5 linked regions of the Cricetulus griseus genome follow. The protein of the gene in region 2 interacts with the protein of the main gene of each other region in a biochemical or structural test. Links are inferred from orthologs where the notes say so. Each region holds a gene or a part of one and is shown on either strand. Other genes may lie near its edges.

What was found.
Region 1: the proteins of Bcl10 (region 2) and Chuk form a complex in vitro, tested with the Homo sapiens proteins (2 studies listed by BioGRID, with this or other methods). The link is inferred for Cricetulus griseus from reciprocal best matches to the Homo sapiens genes BCL10 and CHUK.
Region 3: the proteins of Bcl10 (region 2) and Card9 form a complex in vitro, tested with the Homo sapiens proteins (2 studies listed by BioGRID). The link is inferred for Cricetulus griseus from reciprocal best matches to the Homo sapiens genes BCL10 and CARD9.
Region 4: the proteins of Bcl10 (region 2) and Ikbkg form a complex in vitro, tested with the Homo sapiens proteins (3 studies listed by BioGRID). The link is inferred for Cricetulus griseus from reciprocal best matches to the Homo sapiens genes BCL10 and IKBKG.
Region 5: the proteins of Bcl10 (region 2) and Ikbkb form a complex in vitro, tested with the Homo sapiens proteins (2 studies listed by BioGRID, with this or other methods). The link is inferred for Cricetulus griseus from reciprocal best matches to the Homo sapiens genes BCL10 and IKBKB.

What each region holds. Positions count from the first base shown.
Region 1 is NC_048596.1:17,443,631-17,448,504, forward strand, and holds the start of Chuk (inhibitor of nuclear factor kappa-B kinase subunit alpha), read left to right. Parts: upstream 1-1,610; coding exon 1,611-1,715; intron 1,716-4,874.
Region 2 is NW_023276806.1:13,250,466-13,255,675, forward strand, and holds the start of Bcl10 (B-cell lymphoma/leukemia 10), read right to left. Parts: upstream 3,508-5,210; 5' UTR 3,327-3,507; coding exon 3,270-3,326; intron 1-3,269. UniProt on the Homo sapiens protein: Plays a key role in both adaptive and innate immune signaling by bridging CARD domain-containing proteins to immune activation.
Region 3 is NC_048599.1:137,743,800-137,748,214, forward strand, and holds part of Card9 (caspase recruitment domain-containing protein 9), read right to left. Parts: 5' UTR 4,164-4,415; coding exon 3,980-4,163; intron 3,535-3,979; coding exon 3,397-3,534; intron 3,201-3,396; exon of another isoform or gene 2,625-3,200; coding exon 2,320-2,624; intron 2,242-2,319; coding exon 2,062-2,241; coding exon of another isoform or gene 1,978-2,061; coding exon 1,834-1,977; intron 1,508-1,833; coding exon 1,382-1,507; intron 1-1,381. UniProt on the Homo sapiens protein: Adapter protein that plays a key role in innate immune response against fungi by forming signaling complexes downstream of C-type lectin receptors.
Region 4 is NC_048604.1:1,279,389-1,283,803, reverse strand, and holds part of Ikbkg (NF-kappa-B essential modulator), read left to right. Parts: intron 1-1,217; coding exon 1,218-1,336; intron 1,337-3,376; coding exon 3,377-3,529; intron 3,530-4,251; coding exon 4,252-4,327; intron 4,328-4,415. UniProt on the Homo sapiens protein: Regulatory subunit of the IKK core complex which phosphorylates inhibitors of NF-kappa-B thus leading to the dissociation of the inhibitor/NF-kappa-B complex and ultimately the degradation of the inhibitor.
Region 5 is NW_023276807.1:61,028,013-61,032,427, forward strand, and holds part of Ikbkb (inhibitor of nuclear factor kappa-B kinase subunit beta), read left to right. Parts: intron 1-857; coding exon 858-907; intron 908-1,038; coding exon 1,039-1,138; intron 1,139-1,316; coding exon 1,317-1,464; intron 1,465-4,028; coding exon 4,029-4,156; intron 4,157-4,415.

The sequences.
Region 1 (4,874 bases), on a different chromosome or scaffold from region 2:
GATGTCAGTCTAGGAAACCCGAAGAGTGTGGAGCCATTCTACAGCTAAACATAACAAAAGGCCAGGCCTTTAATCTTAGCAGTCAGCAGGCAGATATCTGAGTTTGAGGTCTGTCTACATAGTGAGTTCCAGGTCAGACAGGGCTATTTAGACCCTGTCTCAAAAAAACAAAAATATGTCAACAAACCTTGACTTATGTTTTAAGAATAGAATATTTAAAAAGTGAACTGTAGGAACCAATTTGAATGGCCCAGTCAACATTATCCTGTCTGTAGTTTTAAGTATCTCCTATTCTTGAGGGCAAATTATGAAATTATATCCCATCTGTGGAAACTGGAAACACTCCTATCTGCCATACACAGCAAATGAGGTTCTCAGAGGCTCGTTTGCTATTACTTTCAAGTTTGATATTCCAACTCCATGGAATACATGAAAATTATAGAATCAATTAGTCGGGTACTTATTATCAGTGACCCACAACACCGACTTGCATACAGACCCTGAGAATTTGATTCTATGCCAAGTCTTACACTTCTGAGTGATTAGCATCCCTACTGTCAGCCTGGTGGAGTGCGACAAGCCTGAATTAGATGGAGGAATAACAAGTTCTAGACCACCCTGGATTACATGAGACCCCGTCTCAAAACAAAACACCTAGGTTCCATGAAGCAGTTAACCCACTCAAATGGAAAGGCGGATACCTTCCCCTGTGCAACCCACCACTCAGAAATATGCCTTACTGGACCAAGAGCACACCAAGCTTGTCTTTGCAACCCTGTAGTGCATCCAGGAACAATTCCAACCCAGAACCACTGCACTGGCAAGCCTGAAACAGCAAGGCTGAGAAGCAGCAGGATCCGTGAGGTCGGATGGGAGACTCACATGTCCGGAAGAAACTTTTCACCCTGGAACAACGTCATATCTTTGGGTGGTTTGGGATTATAAGAGGTTTTGAAAAGATGTACGGAAAGGGTAATGAATAAACGGGCCGGTTAGCGCGGTTTCTTTCATGTTTATGGTGGCCTTTACCAGTGGGTTACGGTAGGGCAGGGCTCTGAAAAAGATAAAATGTAGACGGGGTGGGGACCATACGAAGAATATGACGTTTAGGGTTTGGAGAGATTTATGTTAAAATAAAGACACGCATGAAACCCTCAAAGAACACACACACACAAATCTCAAAATGAAAATCCCACACACGAAGGTCCTCTCGGTGCACCCGCTCGTGCCCAGCCCACTCGCCCGCACCAATCCCAGAAGAGACCTGTTCTCAGAGGCTCATTTGCTATTACCTTCAAGTCTGATAATTCCAATTCCGTGGACTACATGCAAATCATAGAATCAATCAGTCGAGTACCACTCATGACCCGTGACCCCTAACACATCGACTTGCGTACAGACCCTGAGAATTCGACCCTACGCCGAGCCTGACGCTTCCGAGTTATTAGCATCCCCAGTGTCAGGCCGGTGGAGAAGGGGGCGGGACTTTTCCTACGGAAGCTATCGGAAGTGACGTGTAGGTCTCGCGAGCAGAAGGGCGCGCGAGCTCGGCGGCCCGGAACCGGCCTTGGACCGGCGGCGAAGCCTGAGGCGGCTGGCGCTCCCGCCCCATGGAGCGGCCCCCGGGGCTGCGGCCGGCCGCGGGCGGCCCCTGGGAGATGCGGGAGCGGCTGGGCACCGGCGGCTTCGGGAACGTCTGTCTGTACCAGCACCGGGTGAGGCGGGGTGGGGGGCGGCGGCGGCGGCGCCGGGTCGGTCCGGGCGGCCCTGGGACAGCGGCTGTCAGTCAGCGGGAGGGGGCGTGGAGACCTTGGGGTGCTGGGGCCGGTGAACGAGCGCGGCCGCACTTAGGGCCCTGGTGAGCCTGGTGGCCGGCCGGGTGCCGGGTGAGAGAGAGGAAGCTGCTGCAGCTGTGTGTGGTGACGAGGAGTGTGTGTGTGTGTGTGTGTGTGTGTGTGTGTGTGTGTGTGTGTGTGACAATGTGTGTGTGTGTGACTGTGTCTCTGTGTGTATGTGTCTGTGTGTGTGTGACTGAGTGTGAGTCTGTGTGTGTGTGACTGAGTGTGAGTCTGTGTGTGTGTGACAATGTGTGTGTGTGTGACTGTGTGTGTGTGTGTATGTGTCTGTGTGTGAGTGTGTGTGTGTGTGACTGTGTCCGTGTGTGTGTGTGTGTGAGTGTGTGTGTATGACACTGTGTGACTGTGTGTGTGTGTGTGTGACACTGTGTGACTGTGTGTGTGTCTGTGTGTGTGTGTCCCTGTGTGTGACTGTGTGTGTGTCTCTGTGTCTGTGTGTGTGTCTGTGTGACACTGTGTGACTGTGTGTGTCTGTGTGTGTGTGTGTGTGTGTGACTGTGTATGTGTGTGTATGTGTGTGTGTCTCTGTGTCTGTGTGTGTGTGTGTGTGTGTGTGTGTGAGTGTGTCTGTGTGACACTGTGTGACTGTGTGTGTGTGTCTGTGTGTGTGAGTGACTGTGTGAGTGTGTGTGTGAGAGTGTGTGTGCGTGCGCGTGTCTGTGTGTGTGTGTGTGACTGTGTCTCTGTGTGTGTATGTGTGTATGTGTGTGTGTCTCTGTGTCTGTGTGTGTGTGTGTCTGTGTGTGACACTGTGTGACTGTGTGTGTGTCTGTGTGTGTATCCATGTGTTTCTGTGTGTGTGTGTGAGTGTGTGTGTGTGTGTGTGTGTGTGTGTGTGTGTGTGTGTGTGGTGACGAGGAGTATGTACAAATATCAAGGATCTCTGTGTGTGTCCCTGCCCGCACACTTGAGTAAACAAGGAAAGTCCTTCCTGGTGTCCAGAGTTGAACCTGTGGAAACATTGACAGACTCTGGAATTGGCACATTCCAGTCCAGGCAAGAAACAGTGTGAGGGTGAGGTGGTAAAATGATCCTTGCTTCAAAGAGAAGGAAATAGACTGAGGGGTTTGTTCTGCAAAAGACGGGTTTGTTATGTAAAAGACAACTAACATCAGGTTCGGGAAATTTGCTTGGATTTAATTGAAAATGTTTAACCATTGCAACAGCAGTTATTTGTACTTTTAAAGGATTTTAAAGCTAACCCTCACCTTCCTTATTTTAATGTTGTTGATGGTAGGAGTGGAACACAGGCTTTGCACATGCTAGGCAAATGGTCTAACCCTGGGTTACACATCCTTAGCCCCAGTTAATCAGGTTTGAGTCATGGGTCTTTTGATAATTCAATAAAAACTATGAATCTTCTCTTCAAAAAATTAATATTCATACAAACCAGTGTATTACCACTGAGGGTTTTGCTCTCCTGAAGAGTGTTAGCTGATTTCTGTATTGGGCACTAAAGGCGCCCCAATCAACAAGAACAGTATTTTCCACCCTGAAGGAAACTTAATTTCAGAGAGAGATTGACATAGACACAAAGTACATCTGGGCATAGTGGCATATACTTGTAATCCTAGCACCCAGGGTCCAGAGACAAGAGAATTTTGAGTTTGAGGCCAGCCCCTGAGTGGGCTTCATACTGTGGTCAAGGCCAGCCTGTCTCAGAAATAAACATGGGTTCAGTGTAATCCTAGACACTGAAAGTACTGGCAGTGTGAGTAGCCAAAGAACTTTCCCTAGGGAATAGGGTACAAGTTCTCAAAGGGTGTTTGAAAAACCTAGTTCCATATAATACATTAAAGAAAGAATTTGGAAGAAGCCAGGCATGGTGGGAACACTTGGGAGACTGAGGTCCATGGGCCACAGAGTGTTCCCTTTTTAAAGAAGTGTGTATGGGAAGGAGATGTAATTCAGTGATAAAGTACATACCCAAGGCCCTGGGTTCTATCCTCAGTACTATAGATCTACCTGCCACACACTGAAAATAATCTGGTCGGGTAGGACTTGGGATCTCAGGAAATGCGTCCACAAAACATATGCAGACAGAGAGGATGGATGTCAGTCGTGTGCAAATACTGCAATGGACTTGGGCAGCATCCTCTAGATTTCAGCGTCCTCTGGAGGCCCTAGAAGCTGTCATCTGCAGACTGAGGGCAACTTCACTGAGTTCAAATACTTTGGGTAAATGCCTGGAGAATCGAAATTCAAATTGGGAATCCAATTTAAAAGCTCCAAAAAGTAAAGAGATTAACTTAGTGTTTTCAGACTTCCTGCCTGCCTCAGTCTTACAATAGCAGGAACTATAGACTTATATTACCACACCCAACTTAGTCTCATTTTTAACAAACAGGCCTTTTTGTTGTTGTTAGGCAACTATAAACTTTCCAGAGAACATTCTCTGTGAGTCGATTGAGTTTTACAGAGGAGGTGAACTATAAATCAAGGCGTTTGAAGGATCTCTTGTGGTTGGGACCTATATAAGGTAGATAGCTTCCTGTCTCATTCATATCAGAATTTAGGGCTTACAAGTCACCATAGTAGCAAAACTCTATGTAGGTTGTAACTACTATCAGATAACCTGTTTGCTTATAACAAAAGCTAAAAGGAGTGAGCACTGTGGTAAAGCTATCTTAGTCTCTATTAGCCCCCAACCCCTGCATTAGAAACTGTCTTGCCTTGCCTTTCTCTTCGTTCCTAATCCAGGCTATCCTATCTAAGCTATCTTGCTCCCTGCTTCCCCCTTCAGCCCCTGCATACTGCACTCACCACTTTGACCACACCTTTGAGACATTCTTTTGAACACTTAATGCAGTTTGGCCTGTTTGGTTCTGACACTGTATTAGTGGTGTTGTCAGAATATGATGAAGCCTGGCTGTTACCTGAAATGTGCATAGGATACTCAGGCAGAAGTGGTGAAATTACTAATCACAAGCAAGAGGTCTTAGGGTTGTATTGTAGATATTTCAGTAGGAGTACAGTTCTTTGGATGTTTTTCCATGCCATTTGAAATGCAAAGATTAG
Region 2 (5,210 bases):
GACAAACAGCTGCAGAAAGACACTGGACTATGGAAAAAACTGCAGAACTGAATCAGCCGGTATACTTCAAAGATGTACTAATCTCTGTATGGAAACCAGGACATGTGTTACGTTGGGGAAGGGGTTTCGCCTTTGTTTCCACAGGAGAAGAAAAATTTGGATACCATCAAAGTTAATCAAAATTCGAGTCAAAAACGAAAAACCTCTCAATGAGGAAGAATGACAGGTAACATACCAAGGTGTATCTCATAAACTGTATAGAAACCTCCCAAAGGAAAGGGTTTTTCTTTTATCTTCACAGGAAAACTCATCTCCTGAAGGCAAAGGACACTGCATGGGTAGATACTTAAGAAGAAAAGGTAGCTATAACCATCAAACAAAAGTGTAGGGAGCCAGTTCCTGCATTATCCATTACAATAATGGTGCCTGAAGACACCAAGATGTAAATTACTTCACAGGCGCTGGGTTTCTCTTTATTTCCTAGTCCCTATTCAATTAAACCAATGCTGGCTTTAGAGGTGGATTTGGCTTTCCTCCTCTAAATCCAAGCACTTTGTTAAACTTCAGAGTTTCTGTACTATATCAAGAAGTCAATTGATGTAATACAGAATAGAGGAAAGATCAGGGACTGTCATTTGTCTTTTCTTGGCCTTTTTCTCTCAAGGTGTACATCCTTTCATAATTCTTATTTTCCCATGGTTGCCTTTCCCGGTATGCATACATATACAAGCAAATATTTCTCTGCTAACATTTATTTTTGAGTCCCACACAGCCAATGAAGACCTGTTGACAGCAACCCCTGGATGCTCCAGAAAGAAAATGGGCCACACCTCCTCAATTGCACTGGATCCATCTTACTTATTTCAGCTGACACTCTGGCCAGAACTTCGGGTACTGACTTCAATCAACACAAGAACTTCAATAGAGACAAGGACTTCAACCTGGACCTTCAATCAGGCACCTCCCACCAAACATGGACTGGATATAACACATTCAGGACTTTCATTACACTAACATTTCTTCCCACAGGACCCCACGGGGTTGTCACTGTCATCCCAGTTCAGCAGGAAGTAGCATGGAGAACACTGCATCCCCTTTCCCCACTGTTTACACCTAGTCTGCTATTATTTAAGGCTGGGTTTGGAAGGAGGTGTTCAAGCTTGGACATCTCTTTCGGATGACTTTAAGGTTTAGTTGGGATAGTTATAGTTAAGATGTGACATTAGTAGATTATTATAACCTCATGTAATTTACCCTTATGATTGTTTATAATAGATAATTTACACTGTTAAGTTTTAATCCTCTTTTAGACTAAAAGGGGAATTATAGGGGAAATGTCAGCCATGCCCTCTTGGGTGCTGACACAGGTAACGCAGAGCACGCACACTAGGGTATGGTCAGTGATGTAGCAAGACCTTAAATATGAGGGTCGCACTCAGGCGGCTCTCTCTGTTCCATGGTTCACCTTGTTTAGAGGACTGACTGGTTTCGTGAGTACTTTTAAAACATGTGCTCGTCAAACTTGGTCGACTTCTTTGAGGTACACATTATTTGTGCCCCACTTTACACAGGTGTCCCGGGGGATCAGCAGCTGGACAATGGTCCCCAAGACTCAGGGGATGTCTGAAACTCAAGGTACAAATCTCATACCCAAGCTCTCTGCCATAAAAACTCATCTCATAGTCAAGGCAGCTGCCAACAGGCAGGAAAAGCTCACAGTGTGATAGACTAGGGATGAGGTGTGACTCATGCCCCTGGTCAGATGCAGTGAGTGGTACAAGATTATCATGCTACTTAGAGCAGTGCTCAATTTGTACCATGTAACTTGTCAAATTCCCGTCCAATATCTTTGGACCATGGCTGACCACAGGCAACAGAAGCCACAGAAAGGAGACCCTGAAAACAGTATCATGTGCACAACTTCCCATTATTTATCAGGACAGATAGTACAGGAGGAACAGCACGAAGTCTGGCAGGGGTATTGAAAAGCTCCATTTTTGAAAATGTAAGAATAACTTGTATAATATTAAAACTTGATTCCTAGAAAACACTTGGAATAGAGGTCTGAGGTTGAGAAAGAAGGAGGTTCAAGTTATGTCGACAAATTTTTAAGCTTGTCATGAGCAGCTTTAATAATAGGATATCTGAGGAAAAATACGTTCTATAGACACCTTGAAGCTCATGCATAGTTTCTCTACAGTTGTGAACATCTGATACAGGGCTAAACTGTTAATGTCATAACGAACCAACTGGGCAGTGACAAAGGTCTGCAGTACTCATGTGTGTCCACAGACAGGTCTTGTCCTGCTCTGCCAGCTATAAAATGAAAAGCAATTCTCTTCTTTACAGGTATTGTGAGAAAATTCAAAACCGTGTGAAACGGAACTGGAAGCATAGCCGCCATACTTTAGTACATGGTTTTACTGGCATCTTAAATAAGACTATGGTAGCTATGAAAGACCTAGTCCCAAGTAGAATGTGAAGAAGCTCTCTGGACAGGATGTGCCCTACCAACAACACCGAACAAGGGAACTACGTGGGGCACGAACCCCACTCAACTACGCCAATTTTAATCATGGGTGCAATGCAATAAACCTTACAAGGGATAAAGTACGGCAGAAACAGGGATCTGAAGCAGAAACGACCTCAACAACTTGCTCTCAAGTTCGCAAAGACGGTTTTCCAACAGCACTACCTACGGTGCTAAGCAAAGAACGAGTTACTGTCTTTAACGTGAATCCACGTATATGATCTAAGTGGCGCTTATCTGACTTTCTGGCAAAACTCGTAACTGGAGTAAGAGAAGAAAGGAAGCGAGCGCATCGTGCCTCGGGTCACAAACTCTAAGTAAGGTGCCTGTGCCGTTCCGCCCGGTCTCAGCACAGGCGTGCGAGGCAGCCGCTGACTGTTTTCAAACGTGTGCCTGGCAGCCGAGCCTCGCTCGACGCTCGCACACCCCCCTGCATTGAAATGCGTGGGCGTCTGACGGCGGGGAATTCCGGGCTGCGCTTCCAGCTGGGCGAGCTTCACCCGGCCGCTCCTGCCTGGGGACCCCGGGCGGCGCTGGCCTAGCGGCTCCCGCGGGGTGAGGCGGGCGGGGGTCGGCAGGATGGGGAGCCCCCGGCGGGGAGCGGAGGGCACACAAACACCCAAGCCGGCCCCGGGCCCCGATCCAGCCTTCTTCCGACACCAAGCTCCCGGTCGCTCGGCTCCGGGTTTCGGGTTTCCGCTTTCCTCCGCCCGCCCCGCTCGCCCGCCGAGCTACTCACGTCCTTCTTCACTTCAGTGAGGTCCTCCTCGGTTAGGGACGGCGCAGGAGCCTCCATGGCCAGGGCCGGGATGGCGTCCTTCCGGCCCGCGCCGCGCCGCCCCGCCCAGGCTGAAGCCTCCGGTCTCCGGGACGCAGGCCACCGGTGACTCTGGGGGACCAGGACCAGATCCGGGGGAACCGCCGGCCGGCTCCCGGAACGCGGAGGTGCGGAATCTCAGCGCCCCACTTCCGGCTCCGCCCCTGAGGCCTGCGGAGCCTCGCTCGCCACGCCCCCTCCCCGTCCCTAGGCTGGAAGGCCTAGCTCAGGCTCCACCCTCCAGGGGCGGGTCTACCGTCAGCCCCCGCCCCCAATAGGGCCAGCCAATCAGTGCTAGCCCGCGGTTCTCGCTCCTTCTTCCGGAGTGGCTTCGCCGACAGGGGCCGCCTCTCTAGCCACGCCCAGGATCTATTTGCATAAGGTTGCGGATTGGTCTGCCGAGAAGGACTCGTTTCCGTGGGCGGGGCCGTGGCCGCTCAGTTTAGCGGGATCTCCCCGCCCTCGCAGACTCCGCATTTGGGTGGAGCGTGGGCCGAGTCCGCCGTCAGGTCCTCTGCTTTGCTTCTCTTTTCCAGATGTTGCGCAACGATTTCCTGTTGTTGTGCTGCTGCTCCAGGTTTTATGATTGCTCGATCGTGCACAAACGCTTACAGGTGTGCAAAGCATACACGCGCACATAATATAACTTCAGTATTGAAATGTTTGAGGGCCTGGTCCGGGCCCGCTGACACCCACAACTAGGGAGACTGGAGGAGCACGAGGATCGTGAGACCAGAAAACAAATCAAAATAACAACAACAAAGTAAACAAGTAAATAACGAAAAAAGGTGTTAACTTTAAAAACATCACCTGCAGTCCCACTATTTTAGCACCTAAAGCAATGTTTGGAGTACTTTTAAGTCACTGTTAGGAACGTATCCCCTTACTAACCTAGCAATAGAGATAGATTCTTCTAGGGCCTCCTGGAATATAGTTAAGGTTCTGAAGTTACTTGGTGCACAGTTGCACGCTCGTGTTTGTTTTTATCCATTATCATTATTCACTAGGCAAGTGTTTTAGTCACCTTGTGATGGGGAAGTTCTCTTATCGGAGACCAGATGGCTATTCCCAGGATGGTATTCTAACTGTAGCAGCGTGTGCAAACCATAGGACATAGTGGACCAGGAGCTCCAGATAGAGTGCTACGCCAAATAGGATTATGTGTGGGTATTTAACATGTTACAAGCTCATAAATGCTAAGAGGAAAAATAGAGAAGGGAAGTAGGAAGGGTGATGGTGCAGACTCACTGAGAGAAGGGATAAATTTCCCACCTTCAGGAAGTGAGGCAGGAGCCCTGTGGACAGATGGAGAAAGATCTCTAGGAGTGGAGTGCCCCACCAGTGAGCAGACTCCGTGTGACAGGGAGATGAACTCTGTGTGTATAATCTGACTTTGCTCTGAGTCATGCAGGTTTACTCTGACTCAGAAGGGACGCCATGGAGACTTCAGAGCAGAGGAGTGACAGGTGCCGTCTATGATTTGAGGGTCTCTTTCACTGTTCTAGGAGGGGAGACAAGCTGGGCGGCTCCGGTCTGATGTAAACCCCAGGAGGTAGCGGTTGGGCTAGGTGGGCGGTGCTAAGTGGGAGCTGTGAGAGACAACGCCTGGAAGAGAAGGGGCGGGGAGATTGGATTTTGTTTTGAAAGGCTCACAGTAGCTATCAAAAAGAATAGACTGGAGAAGGGTGAGAAAGAGAAACAGCTCCAAGCTTTATTCTCCCTCCACCCAGTACCATTGTGAACACTCTTCACCGTCACTTTTGGTCATGAAAAATTGTCAACAGTTTTCCTTTTTTCTTCCTTTGCAATCAGGTCTATATTGTTCAGGCAAGTGTTGAAGTGGTTTCAGGCCGTCCTCCGACC
Region 3 (4,415 bases), on a different chromosome or scaffold from region 2:
TTTGGCAGTACAAACGGCAGCCTCTACTAAAGGTCCTGACTGGATGTTTGCCACCCTGTTGTGCAGTTGGAGTTGCTGAACTGGAGGGGTTCTCAAAGCAGTCGGGGCTCTCAGTACAGAAGAACAGACACTGGGTGGGGCAACACATACCCAGCATCCTTGCATTTGGGAGGCAGAAGCAGGATCAGTAGTTCAAGGTCGTCTTTGGACATACTTTGAGTCAAGGCTACATAAGACACTGTCTCAGAACAATCAAAAATAAATAAAATTAATTTAAAAAGAAAAACTCCAAAAAGAAGCAGCTGAAATGACCATGGCCAACACTCAAGATAGTTCCTAGGGAAGTCCAACCAAGAAGTCAAACATCCCTAGTCAGTATGTGTCTCTGTCCCACCCATGTGGCATGTTTTCAAGTTCTGGATGCATCTTGACATCAAGAATATGATCACTGGGCGGTGGTGGCACACGCCTTTAATCCCACCACTGGGGAGGCAGAGGCAGGCGGATCTCTGTGAGTTGGAGGCCAGCCTGGTCTACAAAGTGAGTTCCAGGACAGCCAAGATGACACAGAGAAACACTGTCTCAAAAAAACAAAAAACAAACAAAGAACATGATTGATGGCTGTTCTTAAAATGAATACCATGCTTCTTCTTTTGTTTCCTGGGAGACAGTTTCATTCATTTCCCAAACTGGCCTAAAATTTACTATGTATCTGAGGATGGCCTTGAATTTTTGATCCTCCTGACTCTACCTCCAAAGCCTGGAATTACAGGCATGTGCCACCAAAGTTGGCTCAGTTGCTACTACTTTTTGTTGTTTTTGGTTTTTTGAGACCGGGTCTACCATTGTAGCCCAAACTGGCTTGGAACTCACTGTGTAATCCAGGCTGGCCTTGAATTCACAGTAGTTATTTTGTTTCAACCTCCAAATGCTGGGAGTACAGGTATGAGCTACCACTACTACTACTGCTGCCTATTCCAGGGGGTTACCACCAGCTCTTCTACCCAATACTGTGGCCTCCACCTCCCACCTGTGTAGCTAGCAACTTCCTCTCCTCTATTGAAGTTTCCAACCCTGACCTTCCCCTAACCAGCACAGGCGCCACTGGGACTCCCCTGCTACACTGGCCCTTCCTGTGAGAGAGGCAGATGTTCCTGTCTTTGTACAAGAGGCTCCAGGTTCTATCTTTCAACATTGCCAAGTTACCTCAGGCATAAATAGATAGGTAGGTAGGTAGATAGATAGATAGATAGATAGATAGATAGATAGATAGATAGATAGATAGATAAAGTAATGAGTTGACCACAGCTTCAAAAGCCTCTACACCGGCACCCAAACACTCCTCTCATTCTCATCTTCTGAACACAAATGCAACACCTACCTGGTCCCGCTCAATGGAGACTTCCTCCATCTGCTGCAGGATAGCCTCGATCCGGTCCTTGTACATCTTGGCATCCTTACGCAAGGCCAGGCACTGCAGCTCGAACATCTCCCTTTCCTCCACGCACTACAGGAAGCACCACTCAGCCTCACCCACTCTCCACTGCTCACCTGGCCCTGGGCTGGACTCAGGCAACACCTTCAGAGCACTCAAGATCGGGCTAGCCGGGATGATGGGAAGGGCACTGCAGTCCCAGGCCACAGCAGGCTTGCCTGGTCTGAGACCATGGCCTCAGCCACCACCGATCACACGGTAAACTGAAAGGATGACCCTAGCTGTGGACATGACACCACTGTGCACCAGGAATTGGTGAAGGGGAGACAGTGAGTTACATTCCAGACCCTGCCTTCCAGATACCCAGTGGGTACTGCTTGCCTGCCCTGCCCTCTCACCCGGGTCCGGAGGGCCTCAGCTTGGCGGAGGTCCTTGCGTAGGGAGAAGATGGTGTTGGCCTGCTCTTGGTGCTCCTGCAGTGCCTGGCGCCAGTCCTCCTGCAGCACTTGAATGTAGGGGCTGTTCCTGTCTAGCTTGCCCTCCTGGAGGTGGCAAAGGGCAACAAGCCTGGCCATTGCAGTTGTACCATCTGGTGTGCCCCTGGTGTGCACTGCTGGTAGCCCTACCTGTACAGAGACCTCCAGCTCCTGCACCCGGGCCTGCAGCAAGTCCTTTTCCTGCTGCAGCTCCCACATCAGCTCCTGGCTGGGCCGCTGCTCCATAGCATGCCTGAGCTTCAGGGTGTGTTTTCGCTCCACCTTGCAATCATCCTCTGCCTTCATGAGGCTGTGCCTGAGCCGGTCCACCTGTGGGTGGTCCAGTCAGCAGCAGCCTCCTCCAGACACCCCCACCCCCACCCCCCTGCTGGTGGGACAAGCGATCACCTCGAGCTGCAGGTCCCGGTTCCGCATGAGCGCTGAGCCCTTCTCTTCACTCAGATGTGCTAGGCGCATGGCCAGGTCATAGTTCTCATCCTTGCAGCGCTTCAGCTCTCGGCTGCTCAGCTCACACTCTTCCTTGAGCCGCTGCACACGCTCCTGGTGCTTGCGCAGGAGGCTGTCCTTTACCCGAAGCTCCTTGATGAAGTCGTCCTTGGAGCTCAGAAGTGCCGTCAGGTCCTGAACCTTCTTCTGCAGCTTCATGACCTCTGTCATCAGCAGCTGCGTCAGGCCTGACTCCCCTGATGCATCTGGGGACCATGCAGTGTCAGATGGAGCCTGTGGCTGTCACCTGCAGACCCTGTGCTTGTCCTTGTCCAGAAGTATGTGCTTGAAGACCAGCAGTTTGAGGGGCAGAGGGAGCACTACTGGTCTTCCACAGAGAGAAAGCTGGTGGGAAGGCTCCCTGGGGACTGTTCACCAGGCCCAGTCTGCCTTGCTGCCCCTCACATATGAACTGACTGAGATTCTAACTTATCACATGCCAGGACTCCAGCTGGCCCTCTCTCTCTCTCTCTCTCTCTCTCTCTCTTTTTCTCTCTCTTTTCCCTGAGAAAAGGTCTCACTATGTAGTCCAGGGTGGCCTCTAACTCAGAGATCTGCCTGCTTCTCCCTGGGATTAAAGGTGTGTGCCAGCATGCCTGGCCCTCTGTCTACCTTTATAAAGATCTTTATGAGATGAATGATAGGGATGTGGACTGATAGGGATGTGGCTATTCCATCAGTTCACCTCTGTCCCCTCTAGAAACTGTGGGATTCTGTCCTTAGGTGGTAACTGGGCCCCATGGAATTAATACTTTATAGAGGGGTCACCTCTTCTTAGTGGATGTTCTTAGGATGGGAGTAGGAAAGGCAGAGAAGGGAGCCCTGACCCTGAGCACCTGAGAGTAGTCACTGGTACCACTACTCTGATATGTACCACAGGGCTTGTATTAGACTCATTCATTCTGATGTAATCACAGAAGCCAGGACCTGGTGGCACCTGACTGCACTCACAGCACCCACCCACTCTGTGCCTCTCACCAATGATCATGGAGAAGACTCGTGCTGGCTCCTTGCCCGTGACTTTCCTGTATAATTGAGGGTAATAGAGTTCCAGACTCTCAAGGAAGGCTACATAGCCCTTGTGGCCTGTCCGCTGCAGGATGTCCAGTAGCACACCTACAGATGGAAGAGACAGAGTTGAGGCCAAGGTCTGGGTATGTAGAAGCTCTGGGGCCCAGGTGGGACAGTGGATGACTGCTCTGAGTAGAGGTGCCAAGCTGTGGACCCCCAGCCCTCGTTTCTGGGCCCTTCCTAGCAGAGGGATCTGGGGCATTGCATAAGGCACCCTGCAGGTCTCAGTCAAGGCAGAGTAAGGTGCTGCCTTCACTCTTGTGGCTCTCTCACAGCCTGAACAATGGTAGGAACTCCCCTTCCCTCCTCTGGGTAGCAGCAGGTAGGCATGATGAGAGGAGAGAAGGCTCTCATGCATACATCCTAGGTGTAGATGGAGCTGGGTGGGGACAAGGCCAGGGCGGCACAGCATGTAGCAGCCTCTGGCCAGGTGTCTGTGGGGACCATGAGGGACTAGGGACAGCCCTGCTGGTGTGGGAGCAGCCCTCACCCACTTTCCGCTTGCGAATGACCAGGTTGGGGTCACTGAGCACCTGCTCCTCATCATCGGGGTTCAGGACTTTGCACTGGCGCAGATAGGGTGTGATTCGTGAGGGGTCAATAACAGAGATGAGCTTCACCCGGAAGCTCTCCAGGGCACTCCAGCACTCGTCATCATTTTCATAGTCTGACATGTCCTCTGTAGTCTGTGGTCACAGTCAGGGGAGAGCAGCTCAGGAAGTGCCCACCTTCTGTTCTCTACTGGGTCTGGAGCAGTCAGCCTACAATAGGACCCAGGCCTGTGAGTGCCAGAACAGGGCTTTGGGCAAGGACACAAGGGACTCATTCTGGAGAAATTTGAGGGGTCAACCTCATCTTTGTTCCACAGATTCTGAGGGATAGCAGAGGTGCACTGATAGCCCCTCCTAGTGCCACCCTGCCAAGCT
Region 4 (4,415 bases), on a different chromosome or scaffold from region 2:
TTCTCCACATCCTCTCCAGCATAGACTGTCATTGGTGGTTTTGATTTTAGCCATTCTGGCTGGTTCAAACTGGAATTCTAGGTGGCTGTAAGCTACTAGATGGTTGTTGTGGTAGGAACTGAACTCTGATCTTCTAAAGAGCTACAAGTACTCTTAGCCATCTCTCCACTCAATGACTGGGAATTTTAAAATGACAGTAGGTACTAGAGTGTGGTTCAATAATAAGAGTATATACTTTGCATGTGTAAGGCCTGGAGTTCAATTTTTAGTACTTCAAAAAATAAGGACAGAAATAGAGATAGAAAGAAAATGGAGGATTTGGGCAGGGGAAGGGAGCTGAAGTGAATGACAAAGGGTATTAGTGTCGATGTGATGAGGCCAGTGTGTTTATGAGCTTGTACAAATCAAATGTATGTTTTTACCATACTAGGAGACTAGGAGTCTGAGTCCTATCCTTTTTGATGATTGCATTTCAAAGGAGTAGCACTCAGGTTTTTTGAGACAGCGTTAGGATCATAGGGAATACATGGACTTTGAGAGGGATACAGGAAGGAGTCATGGCTGGTAGTACTTACTAGCTTTCCAGCCTATATCAAGTGTTGGTCAGAATAGTCTGTTCCTTTAACAACTCTGAGAATTTGCAAGTAGGAACCAGGAAGGGGTCTGGGACATTCCAGGAATGTGATCTTAAGCTGTTTGAAGGCATGTTAATGTTTGGTCAACCTTAAAGTTTGGCTGAGCTGAGTATGGTTTAATACCCCCAGCATTCCTTCCACCATGTAGGTTTTGAAGATCAAAATTGGGTCATAGGCCTTGGTGGCAAGTACCTTTACCCGACAATTCTTCTTGCTGGTTCAGCTCTCAGTATTTATAAAAATTCAGCATCTTCTCTCATTTTTTGAAACTTTTCACCTGTTGTATATATGGACTAGGTTGTTTATTTTTCTTGCTGTCTTTGGGTCTGGTCTCCCTTTTCAGAGTTTCAAAGAGACTGAGAAAGGTTTACTACCAGCTGAAAGTCAAAGTTGGTGACTGGGAGAGGACAGATAGCCATTGGGCTAATGAGGCTCCAATGTACCTAGGTTTATAGGTGCTGAGGGGCAAGAGTAGCCCTTAGTACATCAGCTGCTTGTAGGCTGCCTCAGCCCTTGGGGATGCCAAAACTGGGCATCATGGGAGAAAGTAGTACTGATAGGAAATTCCCTTTTCTCTTGCAGCAGATGGCTGAGGACAAGGCCTCTGTGAAAGCCCAGGTGACATCATTGTTAGGGGAACTCCAGGAGAGCCAGAGTCGCTTGGAGGCTGCCACCAAAGAACGACAAACTTTAGAGGGAAGGTGAGTGGGGAGGGGAAGCTACTCCAGGAGGCCCTTTCCAGGGTTTTGAGTGAGGCTCCAGGAGTTCCTCTCCCCTAAGAGAGGAAGGACTGACAAGTCTTTTCTTAAATTCCCTGGAGCCTTCAGGTCTGCCTTGGGAGAGCCCTGGCCAGATATCCAGGAATCTAGTTCCACTTTTGTTTCCAGTATCTGACCCTTTACTTGCTGTCTTAGTTAGGGTTTCTATTTCTGTGAAGAGACACCATGACCACGGCAACTCTTATAAGGAAAACCTTTAATTGGGGTTTGCTTACATTCAGAGGTTCAGTCCATTATCATCATGGCAGGAAGCATGGCAGCATACAGAAAGACATGGTGCTGGAGAAGGAGCTGAGATTTCTACATCTGGATTGGCAGGCAGCAGGGAGAGATAGTGACACTGGGCCTGGCTTGAGCATCTGAAACCTCAAAGCCCACCCCCAGTGACACACTTCCATCAACAAGGCCACACCCACTCCGACAAAAATCTTTTCAAATAATGCTGCTCCTTATGAGCCTATGGGGGCTGTTTTCATTCAAACCATTACACTCGGGTTCAGTTTATTCTTTAGGAAGCATTGCAGGGCCCCCTTAAGGCCACACTCACGATCTCACTATCCAGACTGAAGTTTATCATGGAAAGGTATGCAGTGGGATCCACCAAGGCAGATAGTCCTAGGTAAAGAAGACTGGATACATTACACAGTCACTCCTATGAAAAGCACAGAGCCCCCATGAACTATTTTTCATTGGAGACTCTGAACCCCATGTTTCTATTGGGAGTCAGTTACATTGGCATCCTCTGTGAGGCATGCACTAATGTTTCTGACTCTTTGCAGAAAAGTGAGTGTTTGGAAGCTACAGTGTGACACAATCATGCTGTAAATCCCTTTGTCTCCATATATTGTTAATTGTAAGTGTTCACTACAAAGAGTCATTGGTCTGGTTTGATGTTTCTGGTTCCTATTACACTATTGATACTCGGCCCTCACTAGGACTCTTCCTGGATATCCTGCTGTTGCCCTGTGTTGTGGAGATTCTGCAGCTTTGGGTCTGCATGTCAGGTCCAGCAGATCATAAATAGGATGGATATTAGGGTTAGGTCAATTCATAACCCTGGATCTGGGCCTGGGCAGCTGTAGGGTTGGTCTGCCAACCAGTCCTCCCCTGTCCTCACCACCAGGGTGAGCTCTCCAGCATTGCTCCCGGCTAATTTACCTCTTGCAGCAATGAGCGAGGGGTGGCACCAGTTCTCCTGCTTTCACACCCTTAGGGTTGGTTCTCCCACACTGGCACCATTAGGGCCAGCTCTGTTGTGTTGCTCAGATGAGGTACAGGCGGTTGCTCTCCCAAGTGCTGCAGCTGGTGAGGGGTAAGGACAGCTCTCCTATTCTTATGACCGCAGGACCAGCTTCTCCACATGTCTCAGGTGTTGATGGGTGGGATGTGGGACTACCACAGATAAGTAATGGGGGCAGCTCTCTTTGGCTCATAGCATTGGGGCTGGGTCACCATCACCTCCAACCACTGAGCAGTTCTGCTGTGCTGCCTAGGCAAGAGGCAGGAACTGAATCCTGAATGCTGCAGCTAGTAAGGGGGAGGATCAGCTCTCTTGTCTGTTGCAGGTGGAGATGGGCGAGGGGTAAAGGGGGAACATCTCTTACCACCTACATTGCCACATGACAGGCAAGTAGTGGGGACAGCTTTCCTATGCTTACAACTTTGGGGCTGGCTCACCCACACCTCTGCCAACAATGTTGGCTCTATTGTGTTACCCAGGTAAGGTAAAGGGCCTGCTCTCCCAAGTGTTGCAGCTGGTTTTGGGGAAGAGCAGCTTTTCTACTATTATGACCTCAGGGCCAGTTGCAGGAGATGCTTCTTATTTTCCATCTTCTGGCTGCCATGGTCCCTTTACTGTCTTACCAGAATCAGCTCTTAGACATAGGCTAGTTAGGACCTGACCCCTTCCCCAGGCTGTCTTGCTCCAGCCCCCTCAGTGTGTTCTTTTTTGTTGCATGTCAGGATGCGAGCAGTTAGTGAGCAGGTTAGACAGCTGGAGAGTGAGCGGGAGGTGCTGCAGCAGCAGCACAGCGTGCAGGTGGACCAGCTGCGCATGCAGAACCAGAGTGTGGAGGCTGCCCTGCGAATGGAGCGCCAGGCTGCTTCAGAGGAGAAGTGAGTGGCTGTAAGGGTTGGTACCAAGAGATCCCAGAGCACCCATGGTGTTTTATGCCTTCTGGGGAGTTCTGGTAGGGACTCCCTGTGAATAAAAGAGCTGACTTTGCCTTGATAATGACAGAGTCAACTATTATATGTAAACAGAAGTATTTTCTATCCACATTCATAGTTTATTTATATGTCCTACACAGGTTCTTTTCACCACAGTTGACATATGCTCTAGGTGTAAGGAAAGCAAGGAGCCATGGTGGCCCTAAAGACTCACCTGGGCCCACAGTGCCTGCACAGGCTCTAAACATGCTATTGGCATCTGGTTCAGCATCCTTTTGAGTTTTCTTTAATTTAGAACAGTCTCCTTGCCTCTTTGTTTTGTGCTGAATGCAGTCAGATGTCATTTTATTGTAAACATCTCTCCTATTTATTTTCTTTTTGGTGCTAGCCCAAGGTTCTACTCCTGAGTTGTACCCTAGCCCTTGTTAGAAATATCCCAAGATGTAAGGAAAACATGAACTGTGTAGCAGCCAAATCAGTTTCAGTGTATCCTTGCAGTCAGCAAAGCCTGCCTCAGAGTTGATGGCCCCAGGAGCCTACATGTAATCCAGGAAGCCCACATTTCAGGTCTTTTATGGGACAAGAAGGAAGAGGGTGAAGCTGTACCAGGCAAGCTGTGGCTGTACTGGGACAAAGCAGTTTCTTCAGTGACAGCCCCTTTTGCACAGGCGGAAGCTGGCTCAGTTGCAAGCAGCGTATCATCAGCTCTTCCAAGACTATGACAGCCACATCAAGAGCAGCAAGGTGAGTGAAGAACACAAGCTAGTAAGTATAGCTGCCCTGGGCTGTCCAGGGAAAGGCTTTTACCTTCTTCCCTCCCTCCTCCCCTGTC
Region 5 (4,415 bases), on a different chromosome or scaffold from region 2:
CCTGCTTCATCCAGCCCACCCTTGTCTAGGTGTGGTTCCCAGAGCAGGAAGGTAGAACAGAGGGAGGAGCCTGCTGAGTCCAGAAGTTTGGCATTGTGTCCAAGAGGGGTCAAGGCATCCTTACAGATTACCCTACCTGGAGAACCTAGCGCTCAGCCTGTGTGCTGCTGATAGGAGGGATCCAGGTGGGCGTGAGTGTCAAGGGCTCTGTCACTTGAAGTGATCAGTGTCCCCTGATGCTCTTACTAGAATTCTTAGGGTGAGAAATCTGAAAATGATTATTTGTTCTCCATTATATTGTTTTTTAACCCTTTACTCTTAAGTTTCCAAATCAGAATGAGTGTGTGTGTGTGTGTGTGTGTGTGTGTGTGTGTGTGTGTGTGTTTCAAAACAGGGTGTGTGTGTATATATATATATATATATATATATATATATATATATATATATATATATTTTCAATGTTCTGGTACTTGATAGCCAAGACTTGCCTCAAATTCACCAGAATCCTATTTCAGCTTCCTGAGTACTAGGATTGTGTGTGTGCAGCCAGGGCTAGTTGGTCTTCTGTGTGCCACCACTGCCCGGCTGGATTCAAGTTGTTGAGGGCAAGTATTTTCTTAGTCAGATCCAGAGATGGTACCTTGAATCTCTTGTAGCCAAGCAGAGAAGGGTATAACCCTTAAGTTGGCCCTTGTTTGAGGCATTTAGGTTTTATAAATAGTACAAAAACTGGTGGGTTTTTCCCACTGAGAACCTGTGTCTAGTTGTCTAAAAACTATCGATTCTGCTGACAAGGATTAGAGTAGTGCTTTAAATGCCATTGGTAGGCCTTGAGTCTAGCCTTTTCTCTCTTCCAGAGAGGAACAAGCGAGGGAACTCTATAGAAGACTGAGGGAGAGGCCTAGAGGTAGGTGGTTTTGGCCTTGGCCCTATTTTGTCTTGTCTTTGAGATAACACTGCCCCTCCCTTCCCCCTACCCCCTTACCCTCCCCACCCCCCAGAGGCCAGGAGGAAGAGCTATGCCACTGTTCTCTGCAGACCAGAGGACAGACGGTGACAGTCAGGAAATGGTTCGGCTGCTACTTCAGGCAATCCAAAGCTTTGAGAAGAAAGTGCGCGTAATTTATACACAGCTCAGGTAGGTGCTCTGCTCCTGCTCCAGGACAAGATGTGGGATTATAGCAAAACTGAGGGTCAGATGGGTGCTCTTGCTCTGAATTGCCTATACAGTGAAGAAACAATCTGTGGTTGCTGATAGGATCCAGAATAGTGCCCACCCAGAGCTCACGGGTGTGTGGCTCATTTGTCCTTTACAGTAAAACCGTGGTCTGTAAGCAGAAGGCACTGGAGTTGCTGCCCCAGGTAGAAGACGTGGTGAGCCGTATGAATGAGGATGAGAAGACTGTGGTCCGCCTTCAGGAGAAGCGGCAGAAGGAGCTCTGGAACCTCCTGAAGATTGCCTGTGTGAGTGGACCTTTGCTCCAGCCTCTCAGGTCCCCATGTTGGTGTTGTGTGTGTTGTCCCTTCCATCTATCTCCCCTCCCTGACCCATGCTCCTCAGCGCTGCTCGACTGGCACTTATTTGTGACATGGAGTGGGCAGGAAGATTCCTGAAGGGAAAGTTTATGTGAGGTGTTACTTACCCATGTGACTACTATAATTACCACAAGTAGAGGGGCTCCAAACAGCAGACATTGTTCTTTCAGAGCTAAGAATCCAGCTGGCACCCTTAATCCCAGCACTGGGGAGGCAGAGGCAGGCGGGTCTCTAAGTTCAAGGACAGCCAGGGCTACACAGAGAAACCCTGTCTCAAAAAAAAAAAAAAAAAAAAAAACAGAGAGCAGAGAGACACCCCCACCCTCCCAGCTTTAGTGGCTCAAGCCTTGTCATCTGTATCTGTGTCTTCAGGTGACATCAGTGTTTCTCATCTGAAGGACTCTTACAAGAACGCATTTAGAGTTTAGGGGTGAAGCTCAGCAGAGCCATGTTTGCCTCATGCATAAGGCCCCAGGTTCAGTCCCTAGCAACATGCATGCATACAGTCATGCAGGCATGCACACACAGATACAGGGGCCCAGTCTTACTTTTTACATGCAGATATCTGGCTCTCCCAGCACCATTTGTTGAAGAGACTGCCTTCCTCCCATGACTATTTTTGGCGTCTTTGTCAAATCAGATTTCTGTGCCTGGGTGGATTTCTGCCTGGGTGCTCTGTCTGCCCTATTGGTCCGTGGGTCTATTTTTTTTTTTTTTTTAAGATTTTATTTATTATGTGTGCAGTGTTCTGCCCGCATGTATCCTTGCAGGCCATGTGGTTGCTGGGAATTGAACTCAGGACCTCTGGAAGGGCAGCCAGTGCTCTTAACCTCTGAGCCATCTCTCCAGCCCGCCGTGGGTCTATTTTTGTGCCATTCTGCTAGTGTTACTGTGCTGCTTCACCTGTATAACTTGAAATTAAGGTGGTGGTAGCTCCAGCATTGGTTATTTTGCTTAGGATTTTTCCTGCTAATTAGAGTTCTTTGTATATGAAGTTTGAGGTTTTTTTTTTTTTTTTTTTTTTTTTTCTATTTCTCTTCTTGGAAGTTTGACGGGGGATTGCATTTAATATGTAGTTGATTTTGGTAGTGTAGCTATTTTCAAAATTGTCTACCAAACTGTGAGCATGGAGGGGTCTTTCCTTTTTTTTTTAAGTTTCTTCAATTTATTTAAGATATTTCATTTCCTGGATTATTCCAAGATATGAGCTTGCTTGTTCTCTCTCTGTCTCTGTCTCTGTCTCTCTCTGTCTGTCTCTGTCTCTGTCTCTGTCTCTCTCTCTCTCTCTCTCTCTCACACACACACACACACACACACACACTTGTGAACATGTACACACTATCATAACACAGCTATGGTATACTACTCAGGGAAAAAAAGTATAACAAAACAAAGAAAAAGAAGGGAAAGAGCCGAGTAATAGCGCACCTTAGAACACAGGGACCTGTTGTTGAAAAGAGACCAAGGAGAAAGAGAAGCTGGCCAAAGAAAAGTTCAGTCATTAGTAGCTTCAAGAGCAAAGAGAGAACCTAGCGTGGAGGTGCACACCTGTGATCCCAGAACCTGAGAGTGTGGAGTAGGAAGTTCAAGGCTAGTTTGACAAGATAGTACGACCCCACCTCAGATAACAAAACAACCCAAAAGGGCAAAGAAGAGGAGGTGGCTTATTTTGGAAGCAAGATACAAAATAGTGCTTCATAAAAAGCCTTTTTTAAATGTTTATTTCATGTTCCTCAGTGTTTTATGTATGTTTTGTATGTTTGTTTGAGGGTGTCAGAAGCCCTGGAATTGGAGTCAGACAGTTGTGAGCTACTGTGAAGATGCTGGGAGTTGAACCCGGGGCCTTTGGAAGAGCAGCTTCTGAGCCCTCTCTCCAGTCTCCTTGTAAAGGTTTTTGACTGGAGTGTCTCTATAGGCCAAGGGAGGAGATGGTGTCCTGGGAGATTCATAGCAGCAGGGCATTGTCACTCCTGAGAACTGAAGGAGTCAGAATCAGGAGCGTCCCTGGCAGATTTGCCTGGGGATGGGAGCTGGAGGATATAGCCTCCTGTAAGAAGGTAGGGAAAGGGGGAAATCTGAGATAACACAATGATGCCCTGCTCTGCCACCTGCATTCATGGAGTGTCCAGCAGTGGTGTGAAAGTGGGGGTACGTGGTGAACTGAGGATGGCATCCACTATAATCTAGTGAGAATTGCAGATGAGGACTTGAAAGAGAACACTAGACTGAGTAAAGAAGTGTAAAGCACATGTGCACACCAACTAAGGAGAGGCCAGAGGCTCAACTGGAATTTGCTCTGTAGACCAGGCTGGCCTCGAGCTCAGATCCTCGTGCCTGTGCCTTCCAAGTGCCGGGATTAAAGGCATGTGCCACCACTGCCCAGATCCTTCCTGTTCTTTTAGATTTATTTTCTGCAAGAGCCTGAGTAATCCCTGAGCCCTCTCCCCAGCCCACTGACTCCATAATTCTGTTGATGATCTTTTGTCATTCAGAGCAAAGTCAGAGGTCCAGTCAGTGGAAGCCCAGATAGCATGAATGTGTCTCGGCTTAGTCACCCTGGTCAGCTAATGTCCCAGCCGTCCAGTGCCTGTGACAGCTTACCTGACTCAGCCAAGAAAAGGTAAGCCATGCTTGACAGTGCCAAGTGTAATGTTCAAGGGGGCTGGGGGACTGGGAGTGGATGAGCATACTTATCACCTATCACTTCGCCTGAGGATCTTGTGAGTGCTTCTTTTTGTGTATGCCAGGTCCTGTGGACACAAGCATCAGCTTGTTTGTTTAATTCTGTTCCTTGCCACTTGCTAACTCGTTTCCCTGTCCAAGAGTTGGATTACAAATTGTTTAATGAGAATATTGAAATTGTTAGTCATGCTGTCCAT